2 linked regions of the Zea mays genome follow. The protein of the gene in region 1 interacts with the protein of each later gene in a pairwise test. Links are inferred from orthologs where the notes say so. Each region holds a gene or a part of one and is shown in the gene's direction. Other genes may lie near its edges. The genes, in order: Protein TIFY 6b and protein YABBY 4.

The links.
Region 2: the proteins of Protein TIFY 6b (region 1) and protein YABBY 4 interact in binary tests that used the Arabidopsis thaliana proteins (3 or more experiments, as listed by UniProt). The link is inferred for Zea mays from reciprocal best matches to the Arabidopsis thaliana genes JAZ3 and AFO.

Annotation. Positions count from the first base shown.
Region 1 is NC_050102.1:113,400,358-113,404,752, reverse strand, and holds Protein TIFY 6b, read left to right. Parts: upstream 1-1,331; 5' UTR 1,332-1,609; coding exon 1,610-1,727; intron 1,728-2,248; coding exon 2,249-2,418; intron 2,419-2,518; coding exon 2,519-2,745; intron 2,746-2,838; coding exon 2,839-2,923; intron 2,924-3,005; coding exon 3,006-3,363; intron 3,364-3,471; coding exon 3,472-3,529; intron 3,530-3,668; coding exon 3,669-3,867; 3' UTR 3,868-4,388; downstream 4,389-4,395. UniProt on the Arabidopsis thaliana protein: Repressor of jasmonate responses. Jasmonoyl-isoleucine (JA-Ile) specifically promotes COI1-TIFY6B/JAZ3 interaction. Acts as a negative regulator of MYC2 function. Feed-back regulated by MYC2.
Region 2 is NC_050100.1:193,315,410-193,319,888, reverse strand, and holds the start of protein YABBY 4, read left to right. Parts: upstream 1-1,413; 5' UTR 1,414-1,651; coding exon 1,652-1,777; intron 1,778-1,932; coding exon 1,933-2,109; intron 2,110-2,280; coding exon 2,281-2,473; intron 2,474-3,159; coding exon 3,160-3,208; intron 3,209-3,482; coding exon 3,483-3,558; intron 3,559-3,875; coding exon 3,876-3,950; intron 3,951-4,179; coding exon of another isoform or gene 4,180-4,181; coding exon 4,182-4,271; 3' UTR 4,272-4,479.

The DNA of each region.
Region 1 (4,395 bases):
CCACCATTGAGAGCAATTTTTTTCATTTCATACATTTTTATTGGTCATTTCGATGCAACATTTAATTGACATTTTAGCATGTAAAATCATGAACTAAAACTTTTGCATGTTTTATTCTTTTTTCATCTCATTCTTGATGGTGCGCAATATTAAGAATAACACAATGAAACTCTTATTTGGAGTAGCCTTAGGCTATTCCTAACCCACTATTTCTTATCACGATATACAACTTGCCAAATCATATGTTGCTATACAAGATATAGTTGTCCTAATTATAATATCATCTGATGTTCAATAGTCTTACAGGATTATTAAATGTTAGATGTATACAAGAGTATGAATCGTGCCTGAGCGACATCTCTATTAAAATCTTTATTCTCTTTCCTCTTTACTCACATGTCACATCAGCTTTTCATTCTACCTGGCATATAGCCATATACTAAATGAGTAAGATACCATTAATCCAAACACATTAATAGTTGTATTAGAGATACGAAATTAAAATTAAGGGTATGTTTATATCTCTAGTGCTAAAGTTTAGCGGCTGCTAAAATTTAGCATGTGCTAAACATTAGCACTTGAGGACTGTTTGGATAAAGTGCTAAACTTTATCAACTGCGGCGGCCAATGGTGGGAGAGTGAAAGGGGTAATCCATGCAAAATAGGATTGGAGACTATTTTTAGCATAGTTTTATCATCTTTGGTTGAGCTAAAGTGCTAATATATGCTAAACTTTAGCACAACACTTTTTGTCACATGTTTGTTTCTTTAGCGTCTAAACTTCAGAAGAAAAAAATATAGTGCTAAAGTTTAACGAGAAAACAAACGGTCCTAAAACAAGGTTAAAATGTAAAAAGTTCGGTGGCCTCGTGAATCGTGGTCCGGAGCAGAACTCACGTGGGACCCGTTCCCCGCGCAGAGAATCCCGAGGCCCCACCGCGGGAGCCACTGGCCGCCCACCACGGTTCACCTCGTGCGCTCTCCTTCCCGGACACGTGTCGTCCTATCAACGACCCGCCCACCGCGTCTGAGCCACGCTGGACGCTCGGTCGCCGCACACTCTTCCACCGACATGCGGGGTTCCATTCCTCTCCGCCCAAAATGTCAGTGGCGTTCGACGTAACCAGGCAGAGTGCAGCAGGAAGGACGTTGTGTCGTACCACGTGGGGGACTCGACCGGGGGAACCGGTAAACGTGGCGCGGGCCCCGCCGAGAACGACGCGAGCGATCCGGTCACCGCGGCCCGGGCCCGCTGGCCCCTAGTCGCCACGCGAACCACTCCTTTATTTCTTTTGTTTCCTACTCCTATTTTTAATTATTTTTTTGTTTCCTAATGCCCTCGTTTTCAATTAAAAAGTGAAGCGCAAGCCATTAAACAAACACAAATAGCACACACGGGCACACGGCAGGCCTACAACTACAAGAGGAGAGGAGAAGAGAGAGGAGAATTTTCAATGCTGCCGCGCACCGTCATCACTAGCTAGTGGAGGGGCGGACGAGAAGGCGAGGAGCTGAGGGGAGAGAGGCTTCACAGAGCTTGCTTGAGCCTGGAGGGGGCTGCCGCTGTTTGTCTCTCCACTCCACCCACCAGCAGTTACCTCGGGAGGGCATGGCAAAATCTGGTGCCTCCTTTCCGGAGTCCAGTTGGATGGAGAGGGATTTCCTGGCCGCGATCGGCAAGGAGCAGCAGCACCCGCACAAGGAGGAGGCAGGCGCGGAGGAATCTGGTATGCTCCCGGCCTCCTTTCGCCGCCTGCCGCGCTGCGTTTCTTGATCTGTGCCCGCACCGAGCCGTGCCCTAGTTTCTTGCCGTGCTGGGGTTGGGTTCGCTCCATTCGGTGCGGCGAGATGCGGCATGGGTGCGCTGCGAAATTCAAGCGTCCCTTTCCTCTCTCTCTCTCTTTTCTCTGTGTGTGTTTTGTTGCTGATTACTTTATCTTCGCAACAAAGAGTGTGGGCTTGCTTGGCTGGCATGCCTGCCGAATTCCTTTTGACGGCCGGCCTGCCGTGTACGCTCGATTGTGGGGAGAGTTAATACGTGAAGAAAGCGACGATGTTTCCGGGAGAGGCTGGCCGAGCCTTTCGGACAGCCGCGCGTGTCGTTAGTTGATTTCGAGCTGCTAGTAGTCTGATCGCTCGTGTGGGATGGGGATGGTTAACGGATCCATCTCTGGGTTCTTGCTTTGCTGTGTGTATTTATGTGCCGGCGTCTGATTGTCAGAGGCATGTGTGCAATCTCTCTCCCCAGCTTACTTCGGCGGAGCAGGAGCAGCAGCAGCAGCCCCGGCAATGGACTGGTCCTTCGCTAGCAAGCCCGGCGCCGCCCCGGCGTTGATGTCGTTCCGGTCAGCTTCGTTCCCCCAGTTCTCCTCCTTCGACGGCGCCAAGAACCCGGCCCCTCGTATCCTCACGCACCAGGTTTGCGCGGCTGCCCTTCTTGGTTCTGGTCCATGTCAGCTTCCGAGTTTTTACTGATACATCTAGGTCCCTTTTCGGGCCTCTGATGATGCTTTTGCAGAGGTCGTTCGGCCCCGACAGCACGCACTACGCCGCCGCGCACCGCACGCAGCATGCGCTGAACGGGGCTAGAGTCACTCCGGTCTCGTCGCCGTTCAACCAGAACAGTCCGATGTTCAGGGTCCAGAGCTCGCCTAGCCTTCCGAACGGTACTGCGTTCAAGCAGCCGCCTTTTGCCATCAACAACAACGCTGCGGCCAGTTCTACTGTTGGTTTCTATGGAACAAGGTACTCCTGGTTTATCTGCTGTTACCACAGTGACTTATAAAAGTGGCTGTGGAATTAGTATCGACTGAAACATTGCTTGTTTTGCCTGTGAAGGGATGTGGTGAGGCCAAAGACAGCACAATTGACGATCTTCTATGCTGGTTCTGTCAACGTATTCGACAACGTCTCAGCTGAGAAGGTATAATTTCTCATGGCCTTTCCATTTTGATGCTAATTTGCTTTGCATTTAAGCTCCTTCATTGACATTTTCCGTTCCACAGGCTCAGGAGCTCATGCTCTTAGCCAGCAGAGGGTCTCTTCCAAGCTCAGCCCCCGTGGCCCGTAAGCCAGAAGCTCCTATTCTCGCTCCAGCAAAAGTCACAGCGCCTGAGGTTTTGCATGCAACACAGATGCTGTTTCAAAAACCACAACACGTTTCTCCACCTTCGTCTGCCATCTCCAAACCAATCCCTGGCATCTTGCAAGCTGCAAGTCTCCCCAGGAGCGCCTCGAGCTCTAACCTTGACTCCCCATTTCCAAAATCTTCAGTGCCATTTCCTGTTTCTCCTGTAAGTCAGGCTCCGAGAGCTCAGCCTGCAACCATTGCCGCTACAACTGCAGCAGCAATAATGCCTAGAGGTACCGTTGGCTGTTTATGGTTTGCATAGCACCAACTGGCTATCATTGGAGTATTCAGTAATTCTGGTTGCTCATTTGTTGTATTGAAATTGTCATTGTCTGTTGCAGCTGTCCCTCAAGCTAGAAAGGCGTCCCTTGCTCGATTCTTGGAGAAAAGAAAGGAAAGGTAGAATCCATATTCTTGCTCCCAATGTCCTAAAAACAGGGCATTGGTTTCCGAGTGCATCGCAGCACCTTAATTCCTTACGACATATTTGCATTTGCGTTCCAAAGCTGGTTCTGATCTGTGTATACTTCTCTTGCAGGGTGACAACTGCTGCACCTTACCCATCAGCCAAGAGCCCGATGGAGAGCAGTGACACGTTTGGCAGTGGGAGCGCCAACGACAAGTCATCATGCACAGACATTGCCCTCTCAAGCAACCATGAGGAGTCCCTATGTTTAGGGCAGCCCAGGAACATCAGCTTCATCCAAGAGTCCCCCAGTACAAAACTACAGATCTGATCTGAATATCTGATCATGCCCAATGTTCATAGATTTGTCCAGGCTGACTGATGCAAGGACCATACGATACTTTTGCATTCAGGCAAGGACTCGAGAGGAAGAGATTACGTATGTTATCGGTGCCGCTAGCTGTTGTTTATGATGATGTTTTGTTGTGCTAGTTTACTGTGATGCTGGTGGTGCCCCCACCTAACTAACAAGAGAGCTGTCACTTGCAGACTCTTGATTTTTTTTTGTCCTAGCGCCATTTCTTTAGCGGTATCAAGTCAATTTATATAGGCTTACAAATTCTGCGCCTTTTGTATGGCCAAAGTGTAATATTTTTGTTCTTGTATTATGAACCTCCATGCTGCAGAATGCAAGAGCAAATCTTATTGTCGATGGTGTTCTCATTGCCAGCATGTGTACGCAGTAGCGGTTCATGTTGTTTTGAGCTGTTCTGTTTTAATAATATCTCAAAAGGTTGCCGATTGGTGCCCGTAAGGATGACATTTCAAGAACAGATGGGCAGCAGTCGTTGCAAGGTTT
Region 2 (4,479 bases), on another chromosome or scaffold:
GAGGGTTGTTGGATGCCGCCCCAGATTGGCCCTGCACAGAGAAGAGATAGCATGTGTTATACCAGATGCATTACAAACATCTAACTACAATTTTGATACTCACAGGAGTGTGGAAGAGAGTAGGGTCAACTGGGGGGAACAATGGAGGTGGCGGAGCGATGCCCTGTGCGGCGCTAAGGCTCTGCATGTAGCATGTACTGGAACATCTCCCAACATCGAGTTGTTTTCGAGACCAAATTTAATTTTGCGCCGGCCGGTCGTTACACCATAGTATATCTTACGTTTACAGTTCGCATGTAGAGATTCCCGACCGGAAACAGATGACCGGCACGCATACAGGGTTACAGTCTGTACACTACCTTTAGGGTAGGAAGTACGTACATATATACCTGGTCTCTCGGCCCCATTTAAGCCTTGGTTCCACCGTACCCATGCCGAGGAAAATCGAGCCAGACCACGGTCAGGCTTTTGTCTTGCGAAAACGCGAAGAAAAGAAGCACGCCGCACGCGTACCAGAGCCCTTCTCGCGCCGGACCGGTCAGATCGGCCGTGCTGGCCTGCGCGGCTACACGACGCGCGCGTCCAGGCACATTGATGAGAAGTATATATACAAGTACGTACGTACGTACAAAGGGAACGTGCGCGCGTGCGTACATGACACCCACGTACTATGGTGCCTGCACCTCACCTCACCTCACCTCTTGCGCGCGGCCGGAGAGCAGCAGAGAGGGGAGACCGCGCGCATCGATCGTGGCACAGGTTGGGGGGGCCGGACGATCCCCACCACTCGTCCCGCTTTTCCAGTCGGCAACAGTCTCGAGATGCCGACCGCCGGTGCAGACAAGCTAGGGGCCGGGGGGAGGTAGCGTGCTGCCTGCTTTGCCCCCGTCACATGTACCAACGGCTCCACGCTCGCTTTCCCTTTGTCCAGGGGCCATATATCCACCGCGCTGTCCGCGGTCCACACACCCCATGCCTTGCCTCCTCCTCCTGCCTGCCTGCCTGCCTTTCCCTCGCCGCTCGCGGCAAGATCCACATGCAGTAGTAGGAGTAGGAGCAGCAAGCAACAAGGGAGGGAGGGAGCGAGGTCTTGGGCTCTCTCTTGTTAGTTCCTGCGTGCTTGCCCTGCCCTGGATCGGCTTTCAAATCGGGAACAACGACAGATCCGAGGCTTTCTCGAATCGGGCAGGTCCATCAAATCGCAAGTTTAGCCAGCCCCAGCCCCAGCCCCAGCCCCAGGCACAGCCAGCTAGCCGTCAAATCACTCACACTCATCAAATCAAAGGGGACCAAAAGGATATCTCCTGGCTCCTGCCCCTCTCCCCTCTCCTAGCTACTCGTCGTATAAAATTCCCCTTTCGACTCTCCCCCCTCCCCACACACACCTGACTCTCCTCCATCCCCTCCTCCGATCTCTCACCACGCTCCTCTTCTGCTACCTTGCTTTCCCTGCTGCGATCCGTTCCTTGCCCTATTAGTATTAGCTAGCCGGCCGGCCGGATCGATCGAGCAAGGAGGGGCGCCCCAGCAGTCCTCGTCGGATCGATCCATCTCGTCGACAGCGTCAGCGCCTCAGGTGGATCGGAGCGGAGGTGGTGGACCGGAGCTAGTAGCTGCCAGCCACACATTTCGGTCGTCGGAACCACATATCATGATGTCGTCCTCGTCCTCGTCCTCGTCGTCGGCCGCCTGCTGCTTCCCGCTGGACCACCTCGCGCCGTCCCCCACCGAGCAGCTCTGCTACGTGCACTGCAACTGCTGCGACACCATCCTCGCCGTACGTGCATGCGGCGCCCCACTCTCACCTATACCGACACTCGCACACACCAGCTAGCCTCTCCCACTTCTTCTTCTAGCTAGCGCAGCAGCCAGCAGCGCACGCAGTGTTGACTGATTCGTCTCTCTTCGATCTCTATATGCATGCGCGCGCAGGTCGGCGTGCCTTGCAGCAGCCTGTTCAAGACGGTGACGGTGCGTTGTGGCCACTGCGCCAACCTACTCTCCGTCAACCTCCGCGGCCTCCTGCTCCCGCCCGCCGCGCCGGCGCCGCCCAACCATCTCAACTTCGCTCACTCCTTGCTGTCACCCACATCCCCGCATGGCCTCTTGGTATGTAACTATGGACCAAAACCCATCCAGCTCGTTCGTTCAACTAGTTTAACATGCATGCACTTTAACCTGCTAGTGCATGTTTAGTTTCGTCGTCCCTAGTTAGCCTCTTCATATACCACTGAGATCAGTCAGTGTGTGTGTGTGACTTGCTTGCTTGCTTGCGCGCAGGACGAGTTGGCTCTCCAGCAGGCGCCGAGCTTCCTGATGGAGCAGGCGAGTGCCAACCTGAGCAGCACCATGACGGGCCGCAGCAGCAACAGCAGCTGCGCCAGCAACCTGCCGCCGCCGGCGCCGATGCCTGCAGCTCAGCCTGTGCAGCAGGAAGCCGAACTGCCCAAGACCGCCCCGTCGGTAAACAGGCGTAAGGACTTCTTGTTCTTTCTGTTTCCAATCTTTGGATCCCCCATCTCTCTCTCTCTCTCTCTCTCTCTCTCTCTCTCTCTCTCTCTCTCTCTTCTGTTTTTTATTACTTTCTGCTTTACTTTTCCGAACCAAGGGTATTTATCACTGCACTAATCAAAGACCCAAAGCCATTATATTGGCGTGATGCGGATGGGGATGAACTCAGGAAAGTGTCTGAAGAGGATGAGTAGGGGCAAGCAGATCACCGTTTGTCGTGCTGGAACAATAACAACAACTTGATTTGTGCATAAATAGAACTGGATGCATGGACGACGACACAATCCCATCCTAGCTTATTATTTCGTGCAGTGTTAGGATAAATTACATATATATATGGGTTTACAAGGTTATAATAGATTACATGAGCATTTTTCACCGCGTCCAGGGAACATATATATATGGATTTGTATAAAAAAAGGGGGACCTTATCAGGGTCGATGGATGGCCTAGCTAGCGAGACATACAATCATGTCATGTTATAGCCAGAGGTTGCCCATATCCATCGCTCTTCAGTTGCAAACAGTCGGCATGCATAGTGTAGTAGTTGCTGCTAGCTCTAGATAGATAAGCGTACCCATTCGCCCATGTTCCCTACGGATGCATGTATGCTGACTCAAATCTACCCTACAAAATCTAACTTCGCAGCTCCGGAGAAGCGGCAGAGAGTCCCGTCGGCATACAACCGGTTCATCAAGTAAGATTTTGTGATAAAAGTCTCTCTGTGCATGCATTTTCCCCCTTTAAAAACCCTTGTTTGTATACTCTCATATTCACCTCATCCATATGTATTGAAGTGGATTAGAGCGTAAATTAGTTTAAGTTTCAGCTCAAGACATATGGATTGAGATGAACTATAAATACGAGAGTATCCAAACGAGATCAGATAGCTCTAGTATAGTATGCGCCACTCTCTGCATGCTCATCGTCTTCTTGCTAGTAAATGTGTGCTGCTGGCTGCGTGCACACAGGGACGAGATCCAGCGCATCAAGGCCGGCAACCCGGACATCACCCACCGGGAGGCGTTCAGCGCAGCCGCAAAGAATGTAACTTTCTTTCGTCTTCTTCTCCAGACGCATATATGCACAGCAGTGACAACTACTCGTGGCTAGCTTGCTGTCTGCGTGTCTTGTGATTTGACCCATCACTTTACAATGTCAGCATGGACACAGCGACACCTAGTGTCTGGTGCTGGCTGCTTGCGCCTGGTGTGGTCTGTGGCTAGCTTGCTGCCCCACCGGCACAGCGTCGTACAGACGATACAGCTAGCGTTCGTTTTCAGTATTTGCTTCCAAGTACTCGGTCGGTCGTACGTACCCTACTAATGTTGCATTGCCTTTCTCTGATTTGTGTTCATAATCAGTGGGCCCATTTCCCACACATCCACTTCGGCCTCATGCCGGACCAGGGCCTCAAGAAGACCTTCAAGACTCATCAGGTATCAGAGCTGACACTGAAACCCTAATAACTCGATGTATATTTTGTATGCCTTGAAATCCTCACTTGACACTTTGACGGAGTTCAGGTCATCCAGCAGCAACACTATATTACCACATGCTTCTTTTAAGTTTTTTTTTTATTATTCGAAGTTTTGTAGTACTTTGTAAGCACGCACCGTACCCCGGCCGGCCTCTAAAATTTTGGCTGGTTCCTGGGCTGTGACATACAGGATGGCGCTGAAGACATGCTACTCAAAGACGATCTCTACGCCGCAGCGGCTGCAGCTGCAGCAGCCAACATGGGCATCACTCCATTCTAATAACTCTGGTTAGGCATGTGTTCTGAATCAGCTGGCACGTCGTAGTGGCTATCGCCCTTTGTGCTGCATTCTAGGGTTTCGTCTCAGATCTTGATCTCAACATCGATCGTGTGTCGTTTAATTAGAGTACTTTCCAGTGTGGGGATAGAAATGGAGAATAATCAAGTTAGAGCGCGCATCAAGTAGGCCACTGATGATCCGTAGGTAC